Struthio camelus: one gene and its partner. The protein of the gene in region 1 purifies or fractionates together with the protein of each later gene. This does not show direct contact. Links are inferred from orthologs where the notes say so. Each region holds a gene or a part of one and is shown in the gene's direction. Other genes may lie near its edges.

Region 1 (7,261 bases):
TACTGGGTCATTAGCGCCTCTGGGCCCAGCGCACCTCCTGACCTTTGCCTCTCAGCAGCCAAAGGCCGCCAGCAGTGATTGAGGGCTATAATCAGCACATCTCCACCTGCCCAGAAAGGCTAAAGACTCCCCAGTGGATGAGGAGCCCCCTTCTTCACACCTGCTCCTGCGACACTGCCATTCCTGCCCCTCTTTAGCACCAGGTATTTCGGGTAGATCCATTCACCCCCACCCCCCCCCCCCAGCCCTCTGGGAAAACAAAGGGCCAGAAAACAGTCTGAGCACATGGAAGAATAAACAGCAGCTCAGCATCAGCAAGAAGACCAAGGACTGAAGACTCAAATTACTTTCCAAGTACAGGGGGACCTGTCTGACAACAGCAAGGCAAGCAACTCGCACACAGAGGCCTAAACCAGCTTCCTACTTCGGACAGAGAAATCATTGCAGACCGTAGGAGTAGCTGGTCTAGCCCTTCCCTTGGGGATCCCCATGCCTGAATACGTCACAAACACAATGCCTCGTGTACAGACACCATTTAAGTCCTGCCTGCATCCTAGGGAAGATTTGGGGCAGCAGGACAGCAGGCTTTGGGCACATTGGGTTATCACCAGGAGAGAGAAATGAGACACAGGAGCACAGGCAATACCATTCTCACCCTTGCCTCCTCTCTGTTTATCCCACCTTCCCAGATGTTTCTTTCCCAGTTGCTGCCCCTGGACTCTGAATCCATGCTGGCTGAAGAGGACATGAAGGAAGGGTCCAGCTTTGGACCTCCGTTGCTCTCCTCCACCCTCCCTTTCCTCCCATCTGGGGCCAGAACTGCCCGACTCCCGCTCTGGCGCAAGACCCTGGCCAATCGCAAGTGGGCACTGGCTGGAGATTGGGCCTGGAAGGCCATGCCCAGGGGCTGCTTTGGACTGAAAATGGACCGGATTGGGACCTTCAGTGGTTTGGGGTGTTAGCCTTGGAGAAACTCTGAGGTGAGAGAGACAGCAGCGAGGGCAGCAGAGAAGCAAGGGGGGACTCCAGAACATAAACCATAGGGAGAACCAGGAACAGGGGGACCTGGGCAACAGGGAAGCAAGCTGAACCCAGGGGCTGATGGGGCACAGCGGGACACCGCCTGACTGCTGGTGGGCCAAAGTCAGAGAGCTTGGCTGCTACTACATGAGAGTAGTGACCTCTGGGCTACCAGCCCTCGGAGTCTGGGTGGTGAACGGGGAGCAGGTGGGTTGCACGCTGCCACGAGGCTCACAGGCATTGCTTTTGCACAGGCACAGGAGACTGAAGCGTCTGGAGAACCTGCTTGGGACAAAATGGGGATGAGCATGGCATGCCCACCGCTGAAGCCCTAAAACCCCTGCCCTAGGCTGCTGGCTGAAGGACCGCTGCAGCAGGGAAGTTATGAAGTGGTGCAAAGCGGGCTGAGCACAGGGGTTGTCCAGCTCTGCTACCGCCTGGAGCCCCAGGACCCCTCCCAGGCGTGTGCCGCCCCCCTCTCTGCTCGGCTAGCAGGTCCCGCTGCCCAGCTGGCAGGGGCTCACAGGCCTTGGCTGTTCTCTCTCCTGCCATTTGTGCTTAAGAACTGACTTGCTAATTAAAAAGAGCTGTATTGTTTGTTTGTCTCGTCCAGACTCTGCAGCATTTGCCCAAACCCCACAGCAGCACCACCTCCGCAGCAGCGACCTCGGCTGTTGTCAGGCCTCCGGTTTGTGGACAAGCGAGAGGCAGGCCAGGGACGATGCCTTTCCCCGCCGCCCTGGCACCCGCCGGCTGCCGGGAGGTGGCGGCAGAGCCCGAGACCTGGCGCAGCCCCCGGCCCGGTGGTGGCAGTGGTGGCGCAGCCCCCACGTGCTGCGGGGCCATTTTGGGTGCATGCTGCTGATCCCTGGGGGCTAGCAAACCGCAGGCCGAGGGAGCCATTTCTCAGCCCTGCGCCTCCAGCCTGCCAGTGCCGTGAGCGACCCCGTGGCTGTCCCCTTGGGGCCTAGCAGTTATATAACGGCCAGGCGGCTCCCATCACTCCGGCTAACCTCAGTGAGCCCTGAGTCTGAGATGCCTCTTCTGCCTCTCCTTCCTGCAAAGGAGAGCTGCAAAGGGCTGCAAAGACACAGCCTTACTGAAACCCTGCCGTTATGACTAGGCACTTTTCGCGCCCCCTGCCAAGCCCACGTGCACAGATTCAGCCTAATTCAGCAAGTAGGAGATGGCTGGAAGTGCAGCCGCCCGCTCTCCCAAGCCAAGCTACCCGTACCACACCCATCCTCTCCAGCAGCCAGGAGCTGAGCTCAGCCCCCGGCTGCCCCTGCAGGCCCTGCAGCCAGGGCCGCCAGGTGCCCGTCTGCCTTCCAGCACGGGCTCCAAGCAGCTAGGGTGGAGCCTTGAAATCCCGGTTGCCGGCCAGGCTCAGGGGCACGGGGCTGGGAGCTGCTGCGTTGGCTCATCCCACCTGCACTCTGTCCCCCTGCACAGAGTACTCGGCGGCACCCATGTTTGCTGAGCAAACAGTGGGCCTCCTATTTGGGCAGAAATTTAAGGCAGCCCCCAAAAGTTACCCTGACCCCTCTTCTGGCCCTTCCCAGGCTACATTTGCGATGCCTCGAATGAGGCACGGGATCCTTTGGGCTCCCTGCAACCTCCAGCTGCATCGCTGCAGCACATGAGCCATCCCACATGGCCTTTAAGAAAATGTCGTAACCTCAGCTGGGGCTAAACTTAGCTGCCTGCCCCTTGGCAGCACCGGGAATAGCAGCAGGATAAGGAGCGTTGGATTACGTCTGAGCTGGGTGACCCATCTCCAGACCCCCCCCCCCCCGGTATCTGCTTTGCTCCCCGAGCCCGCTCCGTCCTTCCCATCCTCAGGGATCCCACTCGGCTGACCCTAAAGCCCTGGCCAGCCGAGCTACAACGGGGGAAGGTTTCATCCCTCTGCCTTGCCCTATCCGGGCCCAGCTGCACATCTCCCGTATTCCCACGCGCTCCTCTCCCTGCATGCCTAAGCCGGGCGCGTGCATGCTCAGAGCTCCCTCCCCAGGGAACAGCCGCTTTGAGACATGCTCTAGGTCTCAGCGCAGAGCCGGCGGGATCCCGGCCTTGCCCCGGAGCAGCCGGCAGGCATGCAGGGCAGGGACGGCCATCATGCGAGGAGCACTCTCTCCTCACCGGCGCCCGGCCCAGGCCCTGGCCTGCCCCCAGCCAATGAACGCGCCCCGACAGCGTGGATGCGAGCCGGCAGCGCGGGGTGGTAGGCAGGATTTCCGCAGTCACGTCCCGCGAGTAGCAGCCTCCCCGGTTCCTCATTAACATGGTGCTCACGCCGCTCGGCGCAGCATGTCGAGGCCTTGGCCGGCGGCCGGGGGGAGGCTGGGTCAGCAGGCGCGCTCACAGCGCGCCTGGCTAGCGCAGCGTGGGGCAGCTCGGGGCCCTGGCAAGAGCGGGGGCAAAACAGCAGCCCCCCCCCCCCGAGAGCAGCAGGCCAAGGGCAGCACGGCCCCGCTTCCCCCCAGCGACATGTGGGGAAGAGGGGGGCTGGGCTGGGCAACCTGCTGCGCCCTCGGGATGGCCCCGGCAACAGTGCAGCCCTTCCCGCCCCCACCGGGGCCGGGGGGGCCAAAGGGGTGCAGAGAGCGGCGCACGCTGTGGCCTCCCCCCTTGTTGCCGGGCCGCCAAGGAAAGCGGCGCCCACCATGTCGCGCGGCGGCTGGGCAAGGCCCAGCAAGGCACGCGTGGCCGCACACGCGCCTGGCAGAAGCAGCCCCCGGCTAGCGAGAGGCCGGAGCCCGACACCAGGCTCCTTCCTAACCTCCCCGAACGGGGGGCTGCGGCCGCGTGGCCTCCCTTCGCAAGCCGCGGGGCTCGGGCAGGCGGCAGCCGGAGGGGCCGCGCGCGCCCTGCCAGGGGGGTGCCGGGCCCCCCAGCTCAGGTGTGCGGCGCTGAGCGCAACCCACGCACCCCGACAGCCCCGCTTCCCCCTGGGGCCAGCCATGCCCTGGCCTCCCTCCCCCCGCCCCAACATCGCACAGCGCAGAGGCCCCTCAGCGCTGGCAAGGGGCAGAGCACTGCGGTCCCCCCCCACCCCACTGCAATCCTCCCTCCCCCGAGGAGCGCTGCACCCCCCCAGCGCAGCGCAGCCCCGGGCCCCGAGGGGGCGGCGGGGGCCCCTCTGGGGGGACCTTTGCCCGCGGCCCGGTGGGGGGGGAGGGGGGCGCCGCCGCTGCCGCAGCCCCCCAGCGCACGTAGCCCGGCCCGGCCCCCGCACTCCCATTCGGCGCCGGCCCGACGGGGCGGGACCCGCCATTTCCCCTCCGCCGCTATAAAAAGCGGCGGCGCGGCGCGGCGCCACCTTCTCACTGTCCGTCAGGGCCGGGTCGGAGGCGGCAGGTAAGGGGGCTGGGGGATGGGAGGGGGGGAGACGGAAAGGCGGCGGGCGGGCGGGCAGTCCTGTTTCTGGGTGGGGGGGGGGCTGCGCTGCCGTGGGGCGGGAGCAGGGAAGCTTTGGGGGGGGGGGCGCATGGCGGCTGGGCGCCCCCGGGCACAAAGGCGGCAAGATGGCGGGGGGGGGGGGGGGAAGATTCCCTTCCCCCGGGGCGGATCGCCCCGCTCTGCGCGCCTCTCAGCGCCGCTCTCTCCCCGCAGGCACCAACATCCCTGAGAGGCGAGATGGTGAAAGTCGGAATCAACGGGTGAGTGTGCGGGGTTGGGGGGGGAGGGGAGAGGAGCGGGCGGGTGGGCGGGCGCGGGGGAGGCGCAAGGTGGCGCCAAGGACGCGCGGATGAGCCGTTGCGCGCCGCGCCGCGGGGCAACTCGTCCCCCCTGGGGTAGCGGCCCCGGCGAGGGCGGGGCACTGAGTCACTTCCCCCTTTTCCCCCCCGGCCGAGTCGGGCTGAGTCACCCTGCGCGGCGAGCGCCCGCGGCCCGGCTCGCCTTGCCTTGTCCTGCCCGGCCCTGCCGGGTGCCACCGCTCGGGGCCGGGCTGGTGACCCCCGTCGGAAGGATGCCAGGGAGATCGTGTGTCGCAGGAGCCCCGGGGGCCCTGGGGAATGTGACCTTCTCCCACCGTGCTGTGAGGAGTAACCGGATCCTGCAGTAAATTTAGCGCCTGACCTTTCCTGCGCGGCTGCCCCAAGCAGGGGTCGCTCTTAATCTTCAATTGGGGCTCCTTGGCCTTTGAACGCAGCTGATGGGCTCCCTTCTGCCCCTCTGGGCAGGGAGCAGCCGATGTCCCAGAGGGAAAGCCATGGACTGTTATGCCCTGCCTTGCCCAGCCAGCCAGGCTCCTTGCTCCTCCTACTTATCTGTGCATCTCTCTCCCCAGATTTGGCCGCATTGGCCGCCTGGTCACCAGGGCTGCCATCCTCTCTGGCAAAGTTCAAGTGGTGGCCATCAACGATCCCTTCATTGATCTGAACTACATGGTGAGTTGCCTCGTGGTGTCTCCTCCAGGCCTTCTATGCAGTTTGCCTCTTGCAGTGGGGCAGTGGACTCCCCTAGCTCTGTTCTGGCAGCTCCCCATGGATGTCAGGTGTGGGGCTGTGGGTGGAATGAGAGAGACAAAGCGTAGGGTTGTGGGCCCAGCAGATTTGGTGGAGCCGAGTACAGAGCAGCAGTTGGATCAGCTCACTGGAGAACTCTGGGATCTGTGATTGCAAGAGCAAGGGATGGGGGGTTGCAGCTAGGGTGCCTGACCTCTTCCCCCCCCCCCCCCCGCCCCCTTCTCTCTCCTTGCTAGGTTTACATGTTCAAATATGACTCTACTCATGGTCACTTCCGGGGCACTGTCAAGGCTGAGAATGGGAAACTTGTGATTAATGGGAACCCCATCACCATCTTCCAGGAGTAAGTATCTCTTTCTCCCTCTCATCCCTTGGAAGGGTGAAAACAGATCTCTCACAGAGCAACTCTTATGATTTTGTCCCTCCTCAGGCGTGACCCCAGCAACATCAAGTGGGGAGAAGCTGGTGCTGAATACGTTGTGGAGTCCACTGGTGTCTTCACCACTACAGAGAAGGCTAGCGTGAGTAGGCCAGTGGCATGTGGGAGAAAGGACGCTTGCTGCTCCTACCTGTGGGGCACATCACCATGTACAGAGTTCAAGATGTGGAGGAGATGGCTGGGAGGGAGAAGAGGGTGTCTGAGGAAGTATCTTGCTCTCCAAGCTGTTGGGGTATTCTGGGTTAACTGATCTCCTTCTCTTCTCACAGGCTCACCTGAAGGGTGGCGCTAAGCGTGTTATCATCTCTGCCCCCTCAGCTGATGCTCCCATGTTTGTGATGGGTGTCAATCATGACAAGTATGACAAGTCGCTGAAAATTGTCAGGTAAGGAGAGAAGAGGATGCTCTCTGGCCTGGAACTTTCACCAGCTGCATGGGGTCTCATCTTTCATGGGTAGGTATACTGCCTCTGGTTGATGTGTGTCTTTCTCTTTTCCTCAGCAATGCCTCTTGCACCACCAACTGCTTGGCGCCCTTGGCCAAGGTCATCCATGACAACTTTGGCATCGTGGAGGGTCTTATGGTAGGTCTAAAGCCTGCTGCTTAGTGTGTCCTATCCCCACGTTTCTTCATGTGAGAAGAGAAGTAACTGTCCACGGGCTCTGTGTTTGTGAGGGGTGTAAACTCACACAGTAAGAGGGCTAGCCTCCCTGTGTTCCTTGGGATGGGGAGTTAAGCATTCAGGATGTTTTTTGAAAGTTATTGGCTGTGTTCTTATTCCTGTGCTCTCTTCCCCAAGACCACTGTCCATGCCATCACAGCCACACAGAAGACAGTGGATGGCCCCTCTGGGAAGCAGTGGAGGGATGGCAGAGGTGCTGCCCAGAACATTATCCCAGCATCCACTGGGGCTGCTAAGGCTGTAGGAAAGGTCATCCCTGAGCTCAATGGGTGAGTGTCAGCCCTTCTCAGGTGTCGGAAGGAGGTAGACAGTGCCTGGCTGGCTCTGGCCCATTCCTAGCGGAATAGAAGGCTGGCAGAGGGGTGCTGACTGCTGTTCTGACTCTTACCTCTCTGACAGGAAACTTACTGGAATGGCTTTCCGTGTGCCAACCCCAAATGTCTCTGTTGTGGACCTGACCTGCCGTCTGGAAAAACCAGTGAGTGTTGTGGGGAAGGCCTTAACCTCCAAACCTGCTCCTGCTTCCTCCAAATTCCTCTTATCTAGAATTGCCCCCTCTACATCTGTGTCTTCCTCCCACACTCTTCCCACTCAGCCCTGGTGATGACCAGGAATACTTGGTCTTGGCAAGAATAGCACCTGCTGTGC
Region 2 (8,116 bases), on another chromosome or scaffold:
ATATATGCCTTAGAAATATATGGTATTACAGAGACTGATCATATGGTATATAACTCTATACAAAGTTATATACCACTTATTAGGCACCATATAAATAACTCTTCTTTTAAACATACTTTACTGATATTCCTTGAAACATATGCCAAGGAGGAAGAGTGTGACTGAAGTAGAAATTGTAAGGTTCTGAAAGTGAATTGCATATATTGTAATCCATTCAGACGAGACGGGAAGTGGGACTGCCATAATTTTTGCTGTGACTTGGCCTAGGCCTGTCCTGGGATAGACTTGAGCTCAAAGCAGGGTGCAGTGTGGGCTGGGGGCCATGCTTGCAGAAAGGTGATCTCAACATCCGTAGCATCGGCATCTCTGTGTTACCACACGATGCTCATCCTGCTCTTGAAAGTAGTGTAGAGGAAGAAATTAGATATCGTTCCACTAACTTTTAATCGGCTCATTTGTTAGGTTCAACTGAAGCAGTCGTAGGGACTTCTGCTGTGTATGACCTTCCACTGATAAGTAAACTAGGATAGAAACTTCCTGTATGAACTTCCATCCCTGTCCACCAAAGTAACGTTATTATCTGTGTCAATGGGCTTTGACCCCAGTATCTGCATGCTGACCTTTTTCGAAAGCTGACTCTGAAGAAATTAAAATAGAACATGTATTCACTTCTTCTGGCCCCAAGCATAGGTCAAAATAAGTTTAATGCCTGCAGCATGCTAAGCTCTGGTTTTAGGAAGAGAGTGTAATGCCAGCAGGAGAAGAATGGTGGAAAATATTTAGCAGCAATTGAAGGTGAGTTGGCTTATACATTTCAAGATAAATTAAGGGAGTTTTGACAACATCTGAAGGTCCTTTTAGGATCTCGTGGCATCTCTGAAAAATTAATCTAAGTAAATTCTAGGCTTTAAACTTTCTGTGCAGGACTGTAGAAGTATAGTATGCTAAAGGTAGAACAAGCATTTTTATAGATCTCTACTATTTTTATCTTGTGTGAATCACGTGTTACACAGGTGTTTGCAGTTGGTGATATGACCAGAATATATTAAATATATTTTCTTAAGGAGCACTTTATGTGTTAATAAAATACTTCAAATATTCCAGAATACTGAAAAGAATGTTAACATATTCTATTTCCTCATTGTTTTTTTTAATAATACTGTGTTCATACTTGTTAAATTATTATTATTAAATGTTTTCTAGCATGTATATTTATAAATATGGTTGTCCTTTTTAAATCCTGACTCACACCATAATATTTTGATGGTACAGTAGTCTAGATTGAGATTTCATATTTACTTTGCTTTGTTTTCTAGTGAAATTAGGTTTAAGAGATTCTGTCCTCTTTCAGCTCCTTTTCAAGTTGTAGCTCTGTGAACTTTCACACCACTGTCCAGTTTCTACCAAAGTGGTGGAGGCTTTGATGGACATTTTTTTCTTTACTATATTCATGAGAGTAAGTGGTCAGATGCCCCAGGTGCTCAGATTCCAATCAGGAAGCCAAACTTCATTGGTTTTACTGCTCATAGAGTGGGTGCATGTTAATTATACTTTCTTTTAATACTGACAAAAGACGTAATGTAAACATAGCTATACTAGTGTGGAAGTACTTTAAATGGTGTATCTAATACAACTTGTGAAATTACTACATGGTATAACAGCTCAGTCTTTCTTTCCAATGGACTAAGTCTTTCCAGGACTAAGTCTTTCACTAGTGATGTTAACTTTGCTAATGAGGCTTCAAATATATAAAGCCAAATAATGCAGGACCTTACACTGTAAGACCTTATTAAGTAATGAATAATCTGTGGTAGCTAACAGGTCATTATGGTGTGGTAGAAGCTTGATGGAGAGCTGACAAACGAGTAGCAAAAAAGTCAGACTATTTCCAGAAAATGTGAAATGATGATATTGCTTTCTATTGTGGATTTCACTCAGAAGACTGGAACTTGACTTCTGGCTATTGTATCCAACCCTTGTTGGCAGCGAATCACTGTATAAATAAAACTATTTAGTCCTTTTGTTTTGGTTAGTTTCCCAGATTATGTCAAGGTTAAATTACACATTAAGAGGAAAATATCTTTTCTCTTAAAAAAAAAAAAAAAAAAGTGGTTTAAATATTCCTCAGTTTGACATATAACAAATGAAAAAATATGCATTTGATATGGTTGTATTTTGTTTAAACAGTCACTCATGCTTTCTATTAGGAATAATGGGGAAAAAGTAATCTGTATCTTACCATAGCTGAATATATCTGCTTTGCGTGATGCTGAGATGAGGTGCTTTTGCATGACATACTTAAATCTGTATTGGTTTACATTTTTGAGCCCTTGACACCTCCTTTTCTTGAAATACTAAAAAAAGTATTGAAGCAATGCAAGGTGTATTTTAGGGGAAAATCAGAATTATGAGGTGTGATTCAGAGATTTTGATGACGAGTGGGCTGATAATGTTCACTTGTAGACATTTTCCTGTACTATAAATTACAGTACTAATATTGGCAATTTCATAAATTTCCCCAATAGAGCAATATATTAATTACAGAATGTATTTTCATTGTGTAACTAGACTAGTGACAAAGTGAGAAGGATGATGATTATAGCAAATCAATGCGGAGAGTTAAAATAAGACAGTAGTGAGTAATATAATGTTCAAAAAGTGGTTTGTCCTGTTGGATACTGCATCCATGTTCCCTTGAAAGCCTAGAAGGTATATCTTTTTGTTCCTCTGCATTAAAAATTGACTTGCATTTGAAGATTTATATTATGGCTATCGTGCATGAGAGGAATTTATTCATGTGATGAGCATGTTCTTTGTAACATCACTGAGTTGTTACCGAAGAAGTAACTGATTCGTATTGTGAGCTGTTCCATTGGTAGGGGCTGGAAGTGCTGTAGCCGGAAAACTCTGGATCTGTTAAACTGGAAAGCAGTGTTCAATAGAGTAGGTAGTGATTGTATTTATCATAACCCCATTCTTCCCGTGTGAGCCACATGAAAACATTCCCTCCCTCCCTCAAGATTAATTTACAGTTGTGTAGTATATTTTACATCTCCAGTAATTAAATTATTTCAGATCTTACCGTGGATGAAATTAGATTGTGGCGACTGGAAAGGAGACCATGTTCAGGTTATATGAAGTCCAAAACCTTGTTATTTAATCATTTATAAGTTCTTCAGTTGTGTTTTTGAAAAGAATATCATCTTTCCTGTTTAAATTATGCTCTAGGCAAGTGCAAGATATACAGATGCTACCACCATTCTTCGTTTCTCAAGTGAATAATCTAATATGGATTTGCAGCTTCTTGAACAGAAGTCTTGGAATATAGAAAGCATATATGATCTATCCTGTACGTCTCATTCCAACATAGAAGATCCCTTTTCATTGTGTAGACTCTTAAATTCTATTCACCAAATTGGAACTTGCCGACAAAATCCCCATATGAAGGTCAGCAGGGTAAAGTGAGAACCTGGATGCCAATGTTGATTTTAATTTCCTGCTGCACGTATCCAGATATATGCATCAGTGGTCCTAGCTGTTCTCACAAGTTCTCTTTGTTTGCATTTTATCCAGGCAGGCTTCTCAGTTATATGTAGAAGATAAGAGAAGCAAGTACGATGGATTATGCCATAACTGTGGGTGTTAATTCCTAGCCGCTTAAATGTATTGCTTTTATGAGATGATGTTCCTTTTGTTATCCTTTACTTAATTCCTACAGAGAACTAAAGTTAGGTGCACAGTTAATAAATAAAATTACAGGTAGCAATCTCTTTCCAATTGAGAGATTCAAAGACTTGAGCAATTAGTCTGTCCATTAGGCTGAAATCGCTAAAGGCTTGGAGACTGTAACATAGGCTTTGTTAGAAATTTCTTCTGAAAATGCAGATGATTTAAGGCAGTTCTTCTGCACATGTTTTAGTAGAGGAGTATAATAAACCCGAACTTTTTATGAGGACTATCAACAAGTACCTGGGGAGCTTCCTGAAGATCTGATGCCTGACAAATTACATCTGTACTGATGGAGATCAAACAGAATTGATGCACAAAACTACTGATGAAAACTGTAAAATAGCTTAATAGTTTAGACTCTCTCTGCAAACCATTGAAATTGATGGGAGGTTTTCTATGAATTATAGCTCAGAACATTGACACATATGTACAGAAGACTTATGACAGCAGTTTCTGTTCTCTCCATCTAACTTTCTGTGAATACTCTGCATCCTACATAGCTTCCCCTTCACCCCTGCAGCCTTCTCAGATGGACAGAAATACCTACAGCTCTTAAATGCAAGGTGTGAGTTAGCCTGAAGAGCCATTTGGCTATAGCTCAGTTAGTCATGCTTGACCTCCAAATCTCTGTGTGAGTCTGCTGCAGAGACCATAGAGGGCCGTGTTCCTATAACACCAATGGGGTAAGACTGTTTCCTGCCATTCGCACCGTTCTAATGTTGTGGGAATTCCAAGGCGTTTTACAATCTGGAATCAGTCCTATGTAAGTTAATATATGTAACTCCGTTACAGAAGCATAAACATATGAAGCTCTGCAGAAGATGAAACTCAGCGTAGATTTTCAGCAAACTGAAAAGACCTAATACAGTTGCTTCGTGAGGCCGGAGATGTAACAAAAGAAATAACCTAACTTTTTCCCAAGCCAGGAACAGATCTTCTGCCTAAAATGGATTTCTTCTAATGAAAGTCTTACACACCAAGCATGAAAATCACTCCCTATAGCCAGCAGAGGAATATAAGGAAAGGCAGCAGCTGCTCTTCTGTGCCCTGGGATGCGAAGAGGAAACGGTATACCCCAGAGGAAACTGAAGCTTTGTCTTGCTAAAAAACAGTGGAGAAAAATCAGCAAGACTCCTCTGGTGAGTAATGTTATATGGCTGATGTGGGCACCTCATGAAATATGGAGTGTGCATAAGTGAATCTGTATGCAAGCCAGTGGTGATGCCAGGGGATTCTTCCGTTTAAACATGTAGTTGGTGAATGTGAAATGCTTTCCAAAACCACATTTTGAGAGTTGGTTCTCAGTACTGTAATTCATCGCTGAATGGATACAGTAATATCAGCCAGAAAAATGCTGTATTTCTAAGACTATATATCCATGTTTCACAGTAAGTGAAAAAATTCTGGTACTCTTTTCTCCTGATATCTACCTTGCTGAGAAGATTTCTTTTTATCTAGGCAGTAAGTTTGAGAATTTGATCCCTCTCTAATGGTTCTGATTTGCTTACTGTATCCAACAAACCATCTTCCTTCTTAAATCCACTCACAGCCTCTCCTTACTGTCCATCACCTCTGAATGGTACTGAGTCATTAAATCCTTCCTCCAATGACCTTGACACAGTAGGCTCCATGCCTTTTTGCTAACTACCCAGTTAGAATATTCATATTTTCCTATACTTCTTTTCATACTTCAGAAGAGATTTTGCACATTTGAACATCTGCAAAGTTCTCTCTGTCTCTTTCATTCAAATCCCAGTAAACCTTTTGCTTGTTTGGTGGTTTGTTTTTCCTATGCCTACAAAATAGAGGATAAATATCAGGATGTCAGTGTACTATAACTACTTTCTATACTGCTAATTTTTATTGTCTTGCTGCTTTCTTTTGTCTATATCCTCCTTGCTCTCTCCCACCTTATGTAATAAGCTCTGTGGGGCAGGGACTATCCTTTTAGGTTTATGTTTGTTTAGCAGCTAGCGTACTGCAGTCCTGGCACGTGATTACAATTTCTAGGCATGACTGTGGTTAATAGAAGAAGAACTTACCTGTGTAACTTAGCCTGGTGTAAAATTGGACTTTATACTATGACAACTTTACCTATATGAAGGGACAAATGATCAAATAGAAGTATGTAAAGATGATCAATATCTCTGAAAGTCCAATTGACATAAGACATTTTCACCTTATATACTTGTGTCATGTAATCTGGAGAGATGGTCAGTTGGGAATTGTATAGGGGAAAGAATTAAATTCAGTCTTGCACCAAAGAAACGGAGCCACTTGCATCTGGACTGTGTGTATGTATGTTAGCCACAGGACTTGCTCGTGGCTAACGTCACAGCTTTTCCCTGTACGTTGTCTCAAATGTGGCATCAAAAGGATGAGAAATCGTCCATCACCATTCAAATGTCTTGGTTCAGTAGGATTACTCCATGAGCTGCAATCATGAAGAGCTGAATTTTTCCTAGTCCTCTTGCAGGTACAGGGAGGGAAGGGAAACAAACATACCAATCTTATTTTTGTGCACATGTGAAGACAAGGGAAAATTGCAATTGGGGAAGTGCAGCAACTATTCCATCTTCCCCCAGGACATGCAGAATCTCCTCTTAGGAACAGAAACCCAGGAGTCCAGGTCCTGTTCTGCTTTTCTTGTAACTTCACTGAATTCAGGGTATTTGAGAATACAGAAGATTGGTACCATATGTGTTAGAGAAGTTCAAAAGGAGACGTATTAGAAAGGATACTCACAAATTATGCCTGCCTGAACGAACTTTGGCAGATTGCAAACACACTATAATGCATACGTTACTGATAAGTTGTGTTGTAGAGAATATAGTCCTTTTGATGTAGGAAATAATATCCGTCACATCTCTAAAACTGTAAATGACGTTTTCACATTAGCCTTGTAACTTTTAGGGGATCTTGTCTGTATGGGTAATAGCGCATAGTTACAGTGCTTGTCTAAGTTAATCTCTGCTAGTACACCGAAAACGTATATACCAGGTGATCCAAAAGGCAAAGAAATCAACAGTTCTTAAGGTTGTTGGCTGCAGTTAGTTTGTACAGTGTTTTTAACGTGCTTAAGACAGCTCAGAATAGTTAAATTTCAGTGTCTTCATAAGCGCGGTTCAAAAATTAAGGTGACAAAATAATGAACCGGTAGTGGCTTAGAAAAGTTCCTCAGCTGGACTAAGAATTTTAGGGGCAATATTCACTTTTTACTTGTTTTTTTTTTTCCTTCCATCAAGCACAAGAGATTGTAATTTATAACCTCCCAGTTTAACTTGTATTGATGAATTTGGTAGAGATTTTTTCCTTTCTAGGATATGAATGAGTCGTTTCACTGTCTTTCTCTTTGGGGTGAGCAGGCTTTGGGATAGTATTTTCAATGTTGTTACATGCAAGCTTATATAAGTTGCTGAGAGGATGCATTCACTCAGCACTACTGATGTAAGCAGATGCCCTCCCCTGCTACCCAGTTCTTGACTGTGACGGTACCCAGGCTGTACTGTATAAAATCCTGCTGATAAAAGTTTTACATAGTAAAAGGATTTTGTAGTGGTTTCATTAAGTGCCATGTTACAACAAAGTCACAAAACTAGAAAGCTGCAAAGATGAAAGTGAAATCTAAAATAGTTTATGAGGATTTATGGTAAACATGTATATATTTTAGAAGGCCTCTGGCACTAATAACCCCCGTGTCTATCCTCTAACTAGATTAAATTAGTTTCCATTAGAATCAGCAGATGCAGCAGCCATGGGTTGCTTTTCATTCCCAGGGGGTACTTTCTCCTTGGTAGCAACCCCAGATACCCTTTTGCTTTTTCAATGTCTATTTGTTATACAGCAGTTAGGAAGATGGCAATAAAAATGGGAGAAAAGCAGGGAGGTTATGGTAAACATCAGTGAAAATGGAAGAAAAAGTTAGAAGTGGCCATGGCTTAAATTAGTTTCTTTAATGGACTTGCTAGCTAAGGAGAAGTTGTTGAAATCTGAATAGTGGAATAAAGCTTTCAAGAGAGAAAGAAAAACACTTCTAAGGGCCATTTATTGGAAGCTCACTGATGAAATTTATTGATTATGAAAATCATTGTCTATAATATGATGACTAAAGGGACAGATTAATCTCTGTTGAAATTCTACTGGAGTCTATATATTTGCAACTGGTCCGCAAACAGTACAGTTTAGGATACATACAGAGAAGATTGATTGTATTGCTGTGGCAGTAGCTTCCTCTAACTGTAGTCCAAAATTTCTAAACATGTAGGATGGCTAGCAGCAGGAATAGTTTCTTGTAAGAAATCCCCATGTTCTAGAGCTTCTATTTTTTGAACAAACTAGGATTTTCTTCCATTAGCATTCTCTCCATGAATTTTTAAGGAAGCAGGGT

What was found.
Region 2: the proteins of GAPDH (region 1) and SIAH1 purify together in Homo sapiens (affinity purification with western blotting; 4 studies listed by BioGRID). This does not show direct contact. The link is inferred for Struthio camelus from reciprocal best matches to the Homo sapiens genes GAPDH and SIAH1.

The regions. Positions count from the first base shown.
Region 1 is NC_090942.1:90,956,819-90,964,079, reverse strand, and holds the start of GAPDH (glyceraldehyde-3-phosphate dehydrogenase), read left to right. Parts: upstream 1-4,190; 5' UTR 4,191-4,380; intron 4,381-4,635; 5' UTR 4,636-4,659; coding exon 4,660-4,682; intron 4,683-5,314; coding exon 5,315-5,414; intron 5,415-5,728; coding exon 5,729-5,835; intron 5,836-5,922; coding exon 5,923-6,013; intron 6,014-6,200; coding exon 6,201-6,316; intron 6,317-6,432; coding exon 6,433-6,514; intron 6,515-6,730; coding exon 6,731-6,882; intron 6,883-7,012; coding exon 7,013-7,091; intron 7,092-7,261. UniProt on the Homo sapiens protein: Has both glyceraldehyde-3-phosphate dehydrogenase and nitrosylase activities, thereby playing a role in glycolysis and nuclear functions, respectively.
Region 2 is NC_090951.1:15,989,414-15,997,529, reverse strand, and holds the start of SIAH1 (E3 ubiquitin-protein ligase SIAH1), read left to right. Parts: upstream 1-4,849; 5' UTR 4,850-4,868; intron 4,869-8,116. UniProt on the Homo sapiens protein: E3 ubiquitin-protein ligase that mediates ubiquitination and subsequent proteasomal degradation of target proteins.